2 linked regions of the Drosophila melanogaster genome follow. The gene in region 1 interacts genetically with each later gene. Each region holds a gene or a part of one and is shown in the gene's direction. Other genes may lie near its edges. The genes, in order: Mef2 and Him.

Region 1 (5,200 bases):
TGGATCGTTTGCTGCTGGGTTCGGTTCTCAAAATGCAACATTGTGGCGCCGCCGAGAGGCGAGGGCCATAAAACGGGTAACTTGGTCGCGCTGCACTTGGTATCGGTTATGCGTGATTTTTACAGAATCCATTCACTCGACGGGGCGGAGCAATATCTGCGGCATCTGGCATTCGCATATTACTCGGAAAGTCACGTTAAAGTTGCGTCCACTTAACTGCAACTGCAATATGGGCATTCCTTAAGATTTCACCTCCCTTAATGTCCTTTTGTCTGTGTTTTAACTATCACTCCAGTTATTAAATCGCAACTTACAGTAAACAAGAAAATCTTTTAATATATTTTCTTATTGATTTAAATGCCATATGGTAATGGCTAATCACTAAAATTCTCGCTATTGGAAATATTTTTATTATGTATAAATAGACGCAAAATCATTTCCTATATGGGTTAGAACTATAGATGGCTGGAAAGTAGCCACAGCTTTTATTTGCCTCCCAGATGTGGACTAATCACATACAACGTTCCCAATTTTCCTGCTTTTATAAAAGTCGATTTTTGTAATAAACTCTATTGGGATCAAGTTGGGGTACATGTATCCCTACTTTATTATCTTTTCGCCTACATAACCTGCATAATAGAGCGTGTTTAAGGTAAATAATATCTCGCTTAACGCAACAATAGACAGGGTCTGGGTCACAGGGCTTTGGATCCCACTTGGCTGGCTGGCGGTCCGATTCACAAATTAAGCCCCAACTTCAGCCATACAACTACTTTACCTCTGTCTGAATAGGCAATCATCAATCGAGCAGAAACAATGAATCGTTGGTTGCCGCACACCCTAGGATCCTACGGGTCCTACTCTTTGTCCCTTCCGATTCCTTCCTGTTTGTTTTGTGTACCCGCCAGCAGACGAATTACAGGATATGTTGTATGTTGTATCGCACAAAATTAGGTAACAAATGAAAAAAGGATTTACGCTTTATTTTTTCTGAATCAAGTTCAACATTCTAGTTTACGTTCACATCGGAGCTAAGAAGCTAAACAGCTGTCACAATTCCAAAGTTAATATAACCTATTAAAAATGAAATTAATTTTAATGATAGTTATATCATACTTCGCGTTTCTAAAAGGCGTAACCACAGCCAGTAAGTATGCCCCATCTTTTGTAACAGGGTATCGAGTATATACTTACCTTTTTTTCTACTGCCAAACGCAGGTCAACAAAGTTTTTATTAAGCTGCGTCGAAGGGGAAAACTAATGGTGGGTGGGTGTTTATAGAGAGGATCCAGTGGCAAGGACAAATAAATAAAATACACACAAAAAAAAAACCAGATAGTGGGCAAAGCGGGAGGGGAGAGGTCCTGGCAGGGCAGGGAGATACGGATACAAAGGAAAACGGAAACCAAAGCGATGTTTAGCAGGGGTGTAGTTAATGGGGGTGGTGAAGTGGGGGATAATTAACATTTATGGGAGGTTGCCAGAGCGGGACAACAAGCTCGGCGAGGGAACTAACTGTAACTGTTGCTGATTGATCAAGTGTGTGGGTGAGTGTGCGTGTGTGTGTGTCTGGCTGGGGCACAAACAAAAACCATATGTTTCTCGTTCGACTCCCGCACGCACTCACTCACAAACCGAATTACTCACTCACCCCCACCAGCCCCACACTCTAACCCCCCGCCACCTCTCGCTCACTCTTGCTTTCGTTGTGAGTAGGAACTCAAAGTCAGCGGCTGCGCACTCTCTCCGTCTCTCCCGCTCTCCGATTGCCCGGCAATGTATGTGTGCGATATTCTGTTACACAAAAAGGCAAAAACAAAAGGCACCGTTAGAAGGTGTGCGCGTGTGAGTGAGTTCACCACGAAACGAAAATCCTCACCGCCAGCCTACGTATACGTGTTCGTTGCTGGCTGTGCGTGTGTGTGTTAGTGTGCGACTGCGAGAGAGCCTGGCGCAGTGCAGCTGTGTGCGGGCGTATCTGTGTGTGCGTACTTGGCGTTACGACGTCAACGACGGCATATCCGTCAGTACGTTTGTACGCGTCCGCAGCGCCGCTTCTTCAGTTTTTCGGTTTTCGGGATTTCGAGATTTTGAGATTTCGATTCGATTCGATTTCGGCAGATCAGTTTGCGATCCGTTTGCGAGTTCGATATTTTCATTCCGAGCCAACGATCCAACGATCCGATTCCGCTAGCGATTCACAACAGATAGAGATCCTATATCGAACGCCGCGAGAAATTATGCTGGCCCGCTGCTCTCGCACTACGCGCAATAATTTATTTTTACTCCATATAAACAAATTCAACGTCTATTTCCAAAAATAAATGGCAACAATAATAAAAATAACAACAGCCGTCGGACAATTATAAGTTTTTATTTTTAACTTTTATTTGCGCCAACCGCGGCCGCGACATCCCCGCCCCCGCCTGCCCGGACTTTGTTTATATTTACAAAAAGCTAAAGCACACGACAAACACAACAGCAAACATATCACTGACTGCATTTCGCCCCGATGTTTATCGAACGAGCGGCGTAAACAAAGCCAGAATTCAAACAATAATTCAATTTGCATCTCAATTGCAAAGATTTTCGTGTGTGTGCTCGGAAACATTTGTGCAAACACCTCGCCAGCGACCTGACATCCCCAGAAAAGTTCAAAACTCGTCGGTTTCTATTGAGTAGTGTATTTTTGAGAACATTTTTTCGAGAAAACGGAAGCTCAGCTAAAAAGCGATTCATGTAAGTTTATCTACTGCAATGAGGAATGTTTTTGGTTTGAAAACTAGTTTTTAAAACCAAAGTACCTTTGCGAAATGGGTAGAAAGATTTTCATTCTTGTATTAAGAATAATTTTTCCTGTTTGTGATAACCATTTGACTTATATTTATGAGCGTCATAAAATCCAATTGAATGCCTCATTACATTATAAGTGATTTTCGGTTAGTCATACTTTTGAGACACATTGTTAAATTAATTATAAATTATGAATTATAAAACCTAATTTTGGTTATCATATCCACCTTTGCTCATTGAGCTATTATTCCGCCCAAAGGCTTAGTAATTATTTACAGATCATCGATGGGCTGTAAACCCCTCCTTTCATATGCCGATAGGGCAATTTGATTATATATAATTTACAATTACAAAAACACTGGCAGCCGGCATGTCGGGAACCAAATAAGCAAGTTACCCATGCACACTGACGTCATCGCTGAGCCAAACGTTGGGATTCCGAAGAAAAAAAAAAGAGATATCGGCCGGGTTTTCGAATTGTGCCTCGCTGTCTTGATTCCAGTTCAAACAGTTCCCTTTCAATTGATATCATTCGATGTTTCAATTTCTTTTCTTGCGATTTAATGCTGAGAGTAGCTGCCATACACTCGGACGGGCGAACACGCACACACAAATACTATATACGTTCCACTGATAAGCGATTTTCGTATCAATATTGAGGGCCCGCGAGAACCGTACTCCTCCGGCGAAGTTCAAATCCATTTCCCTGCTATCAAGTTCTTTTGCATGTAGTTTTTATGGCCGACCGACCGACCAACCGACTAACTGACTGATTGACTGGCTGGCTGGCTGGCTGGCTGATTGGCGAATTTGCTGATAATTGTCTGCACTTTGTTTCAGCCAGCAGCAAATGCACAGAGAATTATATTTTCTCTTATCTCGCCTCAGGCAGCTGGACATGCGTGCAATGCACTTTGACACCTACGCAGGATCATAAGGGGGGTCGCGTGGGAAGGGAGTAGGGGAATTTCGTTTCGATCCAGGGAGCAGTGGGTTCAAATAACAAACAAAGCCATTCGAAGGCGATAATCACCGCAGATTTGCCGTGGACTTAGCCACGGCGATCGCCGATAAACGATTACGGTCATTCGGCATTGCAGAGCCTAGATAACGGGACCCCACCTCCGATCACGTTCACGTTCGGACCATCATCACGACCATCATTAACCTCCGAGATCTTTAACACTATTTGGTGTAGTCACGTTTGGGTCGCGTTTGTATTTTAAGTGTTCCATCAATAGAGAAATTATAATATTATTTATTTATTTTCTTTTTTGTATTTTAAGTGTTCCATCAATAGAGAAATTATAATATTATTTATTTATTTTCTTTATTATTTCATTATTATTTATCTCATTCTATAACAATTTAGTTATTTCCAATACCTAAAGCTTCATAAGTTAAGCGAAAAAATAAATGTTTTAACTGTTTTTTTTTTTTGGATGCCTTTCAATTAGTTTTGAAATTCAAAAATGACACACGATTCTGAAAAACTGCAAGTAAAATAAAGAATACAATCCATGAAGGAAAACCCACAAACGACATCTTATCAGGTCAAAATAATTTGTTGGCAAATTTTCAACGAAAAATAGTTGAGTTACGTTTGTTGTTGGCGTTTTCGGTGCTTGATAAAAAATTCGAAATCAAAATTTGTTTTATTTGCTCGTGTTTTTTTTTTTTTGCGGCCACTATCTGCCATCGAGAGCGAGAGTCTTTCTTATCACACGTGCGCATGTGAAGGTGCCCACGCTCACTGACAAGCCAAATGAAGCACAATCTGGTCGATGTGTTGGTGTAGTTATTAAAAAAATAAATGTTCCTTTGCCATTTGCCGTGTTTGCGGCTCTCGAGTGTCTGTGATAATTATGGTTATTGCCGCCGCGCTCCCCCACATATATTGTATATAAAAATAAAAATAATAATAATTATTATTATTATAACGATTTCTTTCTGTTTGCGCCTGTGTTTTGGTTTAGCTCCCTCCCCCACACTCCGCCCGCTTTTGCGGCTGTGTAGGTGCTGGCGATAAGATAGAAGTGCTCTAGGTGTACTTCTAGGTGACTCGGGGCCCGAGAACTCAAATTTGTTCGACTACCTTAACATGAGACGCGTGTTTCGGGGCGAAAAACAAAAACCTTGGATTCTTTTGCTTTTGCTGGCATTTCTGCAATCGAAATTGTTGATAAACGCGGTGCAGGAAGAGAGCCAGATATCGCGGAGCCAATGCGATTGCTTGCAAAAATATTGGAAATCGAAGTTTGCCGATATTTCACTTGCTTCAAACAGGCACATTTTATCTCAAAAGCATTTATCATTTGCCTTTAGCATTTACCACGAGCGTCGTATTCACAAAGTGTGTGTAAGTTGTGGATAATATTTTATAATATATAAATAATATACTAAAAAT
Region 2 (3,760 bases), on another chromosome or scaffold:
CAAAAAGGGATCTTCGGAGGTACAGTGGGCAAAAGACTGTAAATAAATAATATAAATAAAATAATATTTAGCTCTATGTGTTTATATAATCTACAAAGTAGTTAACAAAAAATATAAAATGGATATAAAAATACATCTTATATATCCCTATAATAAGAAATAAATAATAATTTTAGTAAATTAATTTTGTTACACAAAGTACCTGTATTATTACCTCTTTTTTGTTGGTTGGTTCTTTTTTGATGTGGCCCCACTGTGCTCTCTTATCAGTGCGACAATCAGGCATTGCCTTTCCCCATCGGGGGATTCTAATTCCGTGGACGATGGGCCGAAACGCCTATAAAGTCGCTCATTAAAAATGTTTAATTATGGCCCATCTTGCATCTTGCACCGATGTGGATGGGGTTTGTCGGCAATGATTTACATTATAAAAATGCCCGTTATCTGAGCATTTTGTACGCTCCACTCCCTCTTCCCCCCTCCAAAAAAAAAAAAAACAGATATGTATATTCCCCGAGATATTCCCAAGCGGCCAAAAATAGACGCAAATTGTAACGCACTTGAAGTGCACTCTGAAACATCTTGAAGTCCAAATAAAATAGCAGAGAGACCCACAATAATATACGTTGATATACACATGTATATATGTATGTATGTACATAAAGGGCCAGGAGCAGGAACGTTAGGCATGCGGTGGTACGAGCACCGTGGTGCGAGCGAGAGCGCTGTGCTGCCTGAGGGAGAGGTAGCGAGTGGGTTGCATTGCGCACACAGAACATGTGAATGCAGAGTTCAAGTGCATGCCGTGACACAGACACGCACACACACACACGCACACACAGATGAGTAGCCGCTGCAAAGTGTTTTTTCCCAGGCGCTATTTATAATATGCATCCCGTCGCCGATCCGATCCGATCCAATCCAATCCGATTGGATCCCATCTTGCGGCACTACGATTATGACGCTCGACACGATGATGCATTCGCAGAGTTTCCCGATCGCAGAGTACCCTGTACTCGAGTAGTTTTTAGATGCAGTATTATTAAGTAGAAAATTGTAACCGTATAATATTCCATTATATTAAATATTTTTATAGCACTAAAGAAATAAAAGCCCATTTTATAATTTATATTACAAAAATACTTAACCATAGAAACTTATGATATGATACCAATATTTAAGTTCCAAAAAATGTAGAACATTTTTAAGTATATACTCGAAAATATTAATTTTCAAAATTGATATTCAAGAGATATTATAAAAAGATCCCCATTCTAAATATCTAACATCATGCCATGCTTTCTAATGAGTATAGTATACCCCTGCTACCCTGTCAATCCGCAAAACAGGCGCCGAAACATGCGGTTTCTCGCAGCAGACTGCCACGGGAAAAATTCGGTTCGAGATTTGGGAATGGATGTATGACGGAGCAGAAGGAGCAGGACCCGGATTTCGGATTTCGGAATGGATATGGAAATGAAGATGGAAATGGGACTTTGACTGCGCGACGGCCACATGCGCCGCTGGCGATGCCGCTGGATGTTGCATGTGGCAGCGGTCGGTGCAGCAGCGAAAGTGTTGCAGCTGTATGAGAGGGTCTATTTTTGGGGCGATTGTGCGGCGCTGGTGCTGCCACATGTGTTCTGTGTTGGGCTGCTAAAAGGCATTGTAATGAGAGCAGAAAATAGAATTGACTCCACTTGAGCAATGTCCCATAAAGCGGGAGTTTCGAGTTTGGCGCGCAATGTGCCGCACCAGCAAACGAACAAAAGAAAAAAAAAAAAAAAAAACACAGCCAGTAACACATGGGCCCACGAGTTATGTTTTATTTTTAATCCCACAAAGAGTCGATCTCCAAAACAAACCCGCAGAGAGCACATATAAAGAGACTCGGTGGACGAGTGGTTCGAAACAGTCTTCCGCCGCAGCTCGACGCGCTCGCATATCGGGAATATATAGATCGGAGATATCGCAGGACCCACAGCAGAGCAGAGCCGCAGAGCCACCAACCTCGATGGGCGTCATCTACAAGATACTGAAGCAGCAACGCAGCATGGATCTCAGCCTGAGCTCGGCCACCAGGTGCAAGGTGCAGGCGGCCATCAAGCAGCGCCAGCAGCAGCGCCGCCTTGAGGATCACATGGTGGAGGAGCGGGATCGGGATCGGGAGCGGGACCAGCAGCCGGATCAGGATCAGAACCAGGTCCAGAATCACATCGACAAGGATAAGGAGGAGCTGGCCGAGCAGCAATTACAGCAGCTGTGCAGATTTCTAGCCGAGAATGCGGCGCGAAAAAAGGTGAGTGCGGCAAATCCAACAACTAATTTGTGGATATGATTAAAAAAAAAAAATTATATAACAAATAACAGCTGTATAGTATACAGGCTTGTTTAAAGCTTTGCGAGTTATGTTCTTTTCCATCTTTCATTATATTTTTCACTTCGATTGAAGAGGATTCAATTTATTAAACCTTTTAAACCAAAGAACAAAAACATTAAACTATATTACACATTTAAGCAAATCACAATTTCAATTTAAGACTGTAGAACTTAGACTTCACTTGAAAAGCATTTTCATTCAAAAGTTAAACAAAAGCATAGTTAAAATTATTTTGATAGAAAATCATGTTAATTAGCATAAGTAAGAAAAACTTATTATCTAATTGAATATTTTTTCCAAAATTTCGCCATCAGCGTCAGCGTTTCAAGCTGCAGTACCAATGCAATCTGGCCATCGATCAGGATAACGATCAGGAGCAGATGCCGGAGAAGGAGCACTTTGCAGCGCCGCCGCACGAGATGGACCTCGAGTTCATAGAGCAGCTGCAGCAATCCTCGCCCGCCAAATCCCACGGAGCAACTGGGCAGGCGCCACGTGATAGCATCCTGCTGAAGATTCGCCACCAGATCTTCGAGAGAAAGCGGCAGAGGCAGCGCCAGTTGGCGGAGCTGGTGCAGCAGCGAATGGTGGTGTGGCGACCTTGGTAGCCGGATTCCCCCAAAACAAGGAGAAAAAGAGGGAGATAGCTAGAAAGTTAGAAAGAGAGAGAGAGAGAAATCCGGGAACTGAGACTAGTCTAAGGGTTAGCTTTAAGGACGCATTCGGTATTATTCCTGCTGCTGTGTGATGATCGCGCTGCTCTTCCATTTTCCCACGCCTCTGCAAACCGACTTTATTTTTTTTCCTGTTAATAAATAGTTAAGTAATAAAGATTTTTTTTGAAAATAATACCACCACTTCTGTTTTCCATTTACCCTCAGCAATTCGAAATGAAAGTCTGCAGATGCGTTTCTAAAGATTTTTATTCAATGAACTTTGACACCAATTAAAATTGTTTATTCGTATCGGGTATTTGAATGCTGTTTATGGTTAGTTATGCATTGCATTGAATGGTTTATTCGTTAAACTCCATCTGCCTTCGTTCACACTGTTCTGACTCTATTTATGGATATTCTTAGTTCGCCTTCGTGATGCCTGTTCTGATTTCCGGGTTTTTGGTGTCCTAAATGCCTCAAGTTGCCTGACGTTTCACATTTCATATTTCATATATAATTTTCTTCATTTTTTTTTCAATTCAATCTTCTAATTTCCTAAACATTAATTTCTTTCTTGGCTTTGAGCTGAGCTCTGGAAAACGAAAACAAAAGGATCTACGTTCATTCATTGTGATGATTCACCTTTGAGTAGCTGCCACATGCAAGGATATTCGTCAATATCCAAGCAAGTATGTTAATTGTTAGCTTTTGTAACGACTAGGAT

What was found.
Region 2: of Mef2 (region 1) and Him, changing one suppresses a phenotype caused by changing the other (phenotypic suppression), as found in Drosophila melanogaster (one study listed by BioGRID).

The regions. Positions count from the first base shown.
Region 1 is NT_033778.4:9,926,439-9,931,638, reverse strand, and holds the start of Mef2 (myocyte enhancer factor 2), read left to right. Parts: upstream 1-2,023; 5' UTR 2,024-2,739; intron 2,740-4,769; 5' UTR 4,770-5,152; intron 5,153-5,200. UniProt on the Drosophila melanogaster protein: Transcription factor that could be a key player in early mesoderm differentiation and may be required for subsequent cell fate specifications within the somatic and visceral/heart mesodermal layers.
Region 2 is NC_004354.4:18,207,520-18,211,279, forward strand, and holds Him (holes in muscle), read left to right. Parts: upstream 1-1,907; 5' UTR 1,908-2,014; coding exon 2,015-2,299; intron 2,300-2,694; coding exon 2,695-2,988; 3' UTR 2,989-3,222; downstream 3,223-3,760.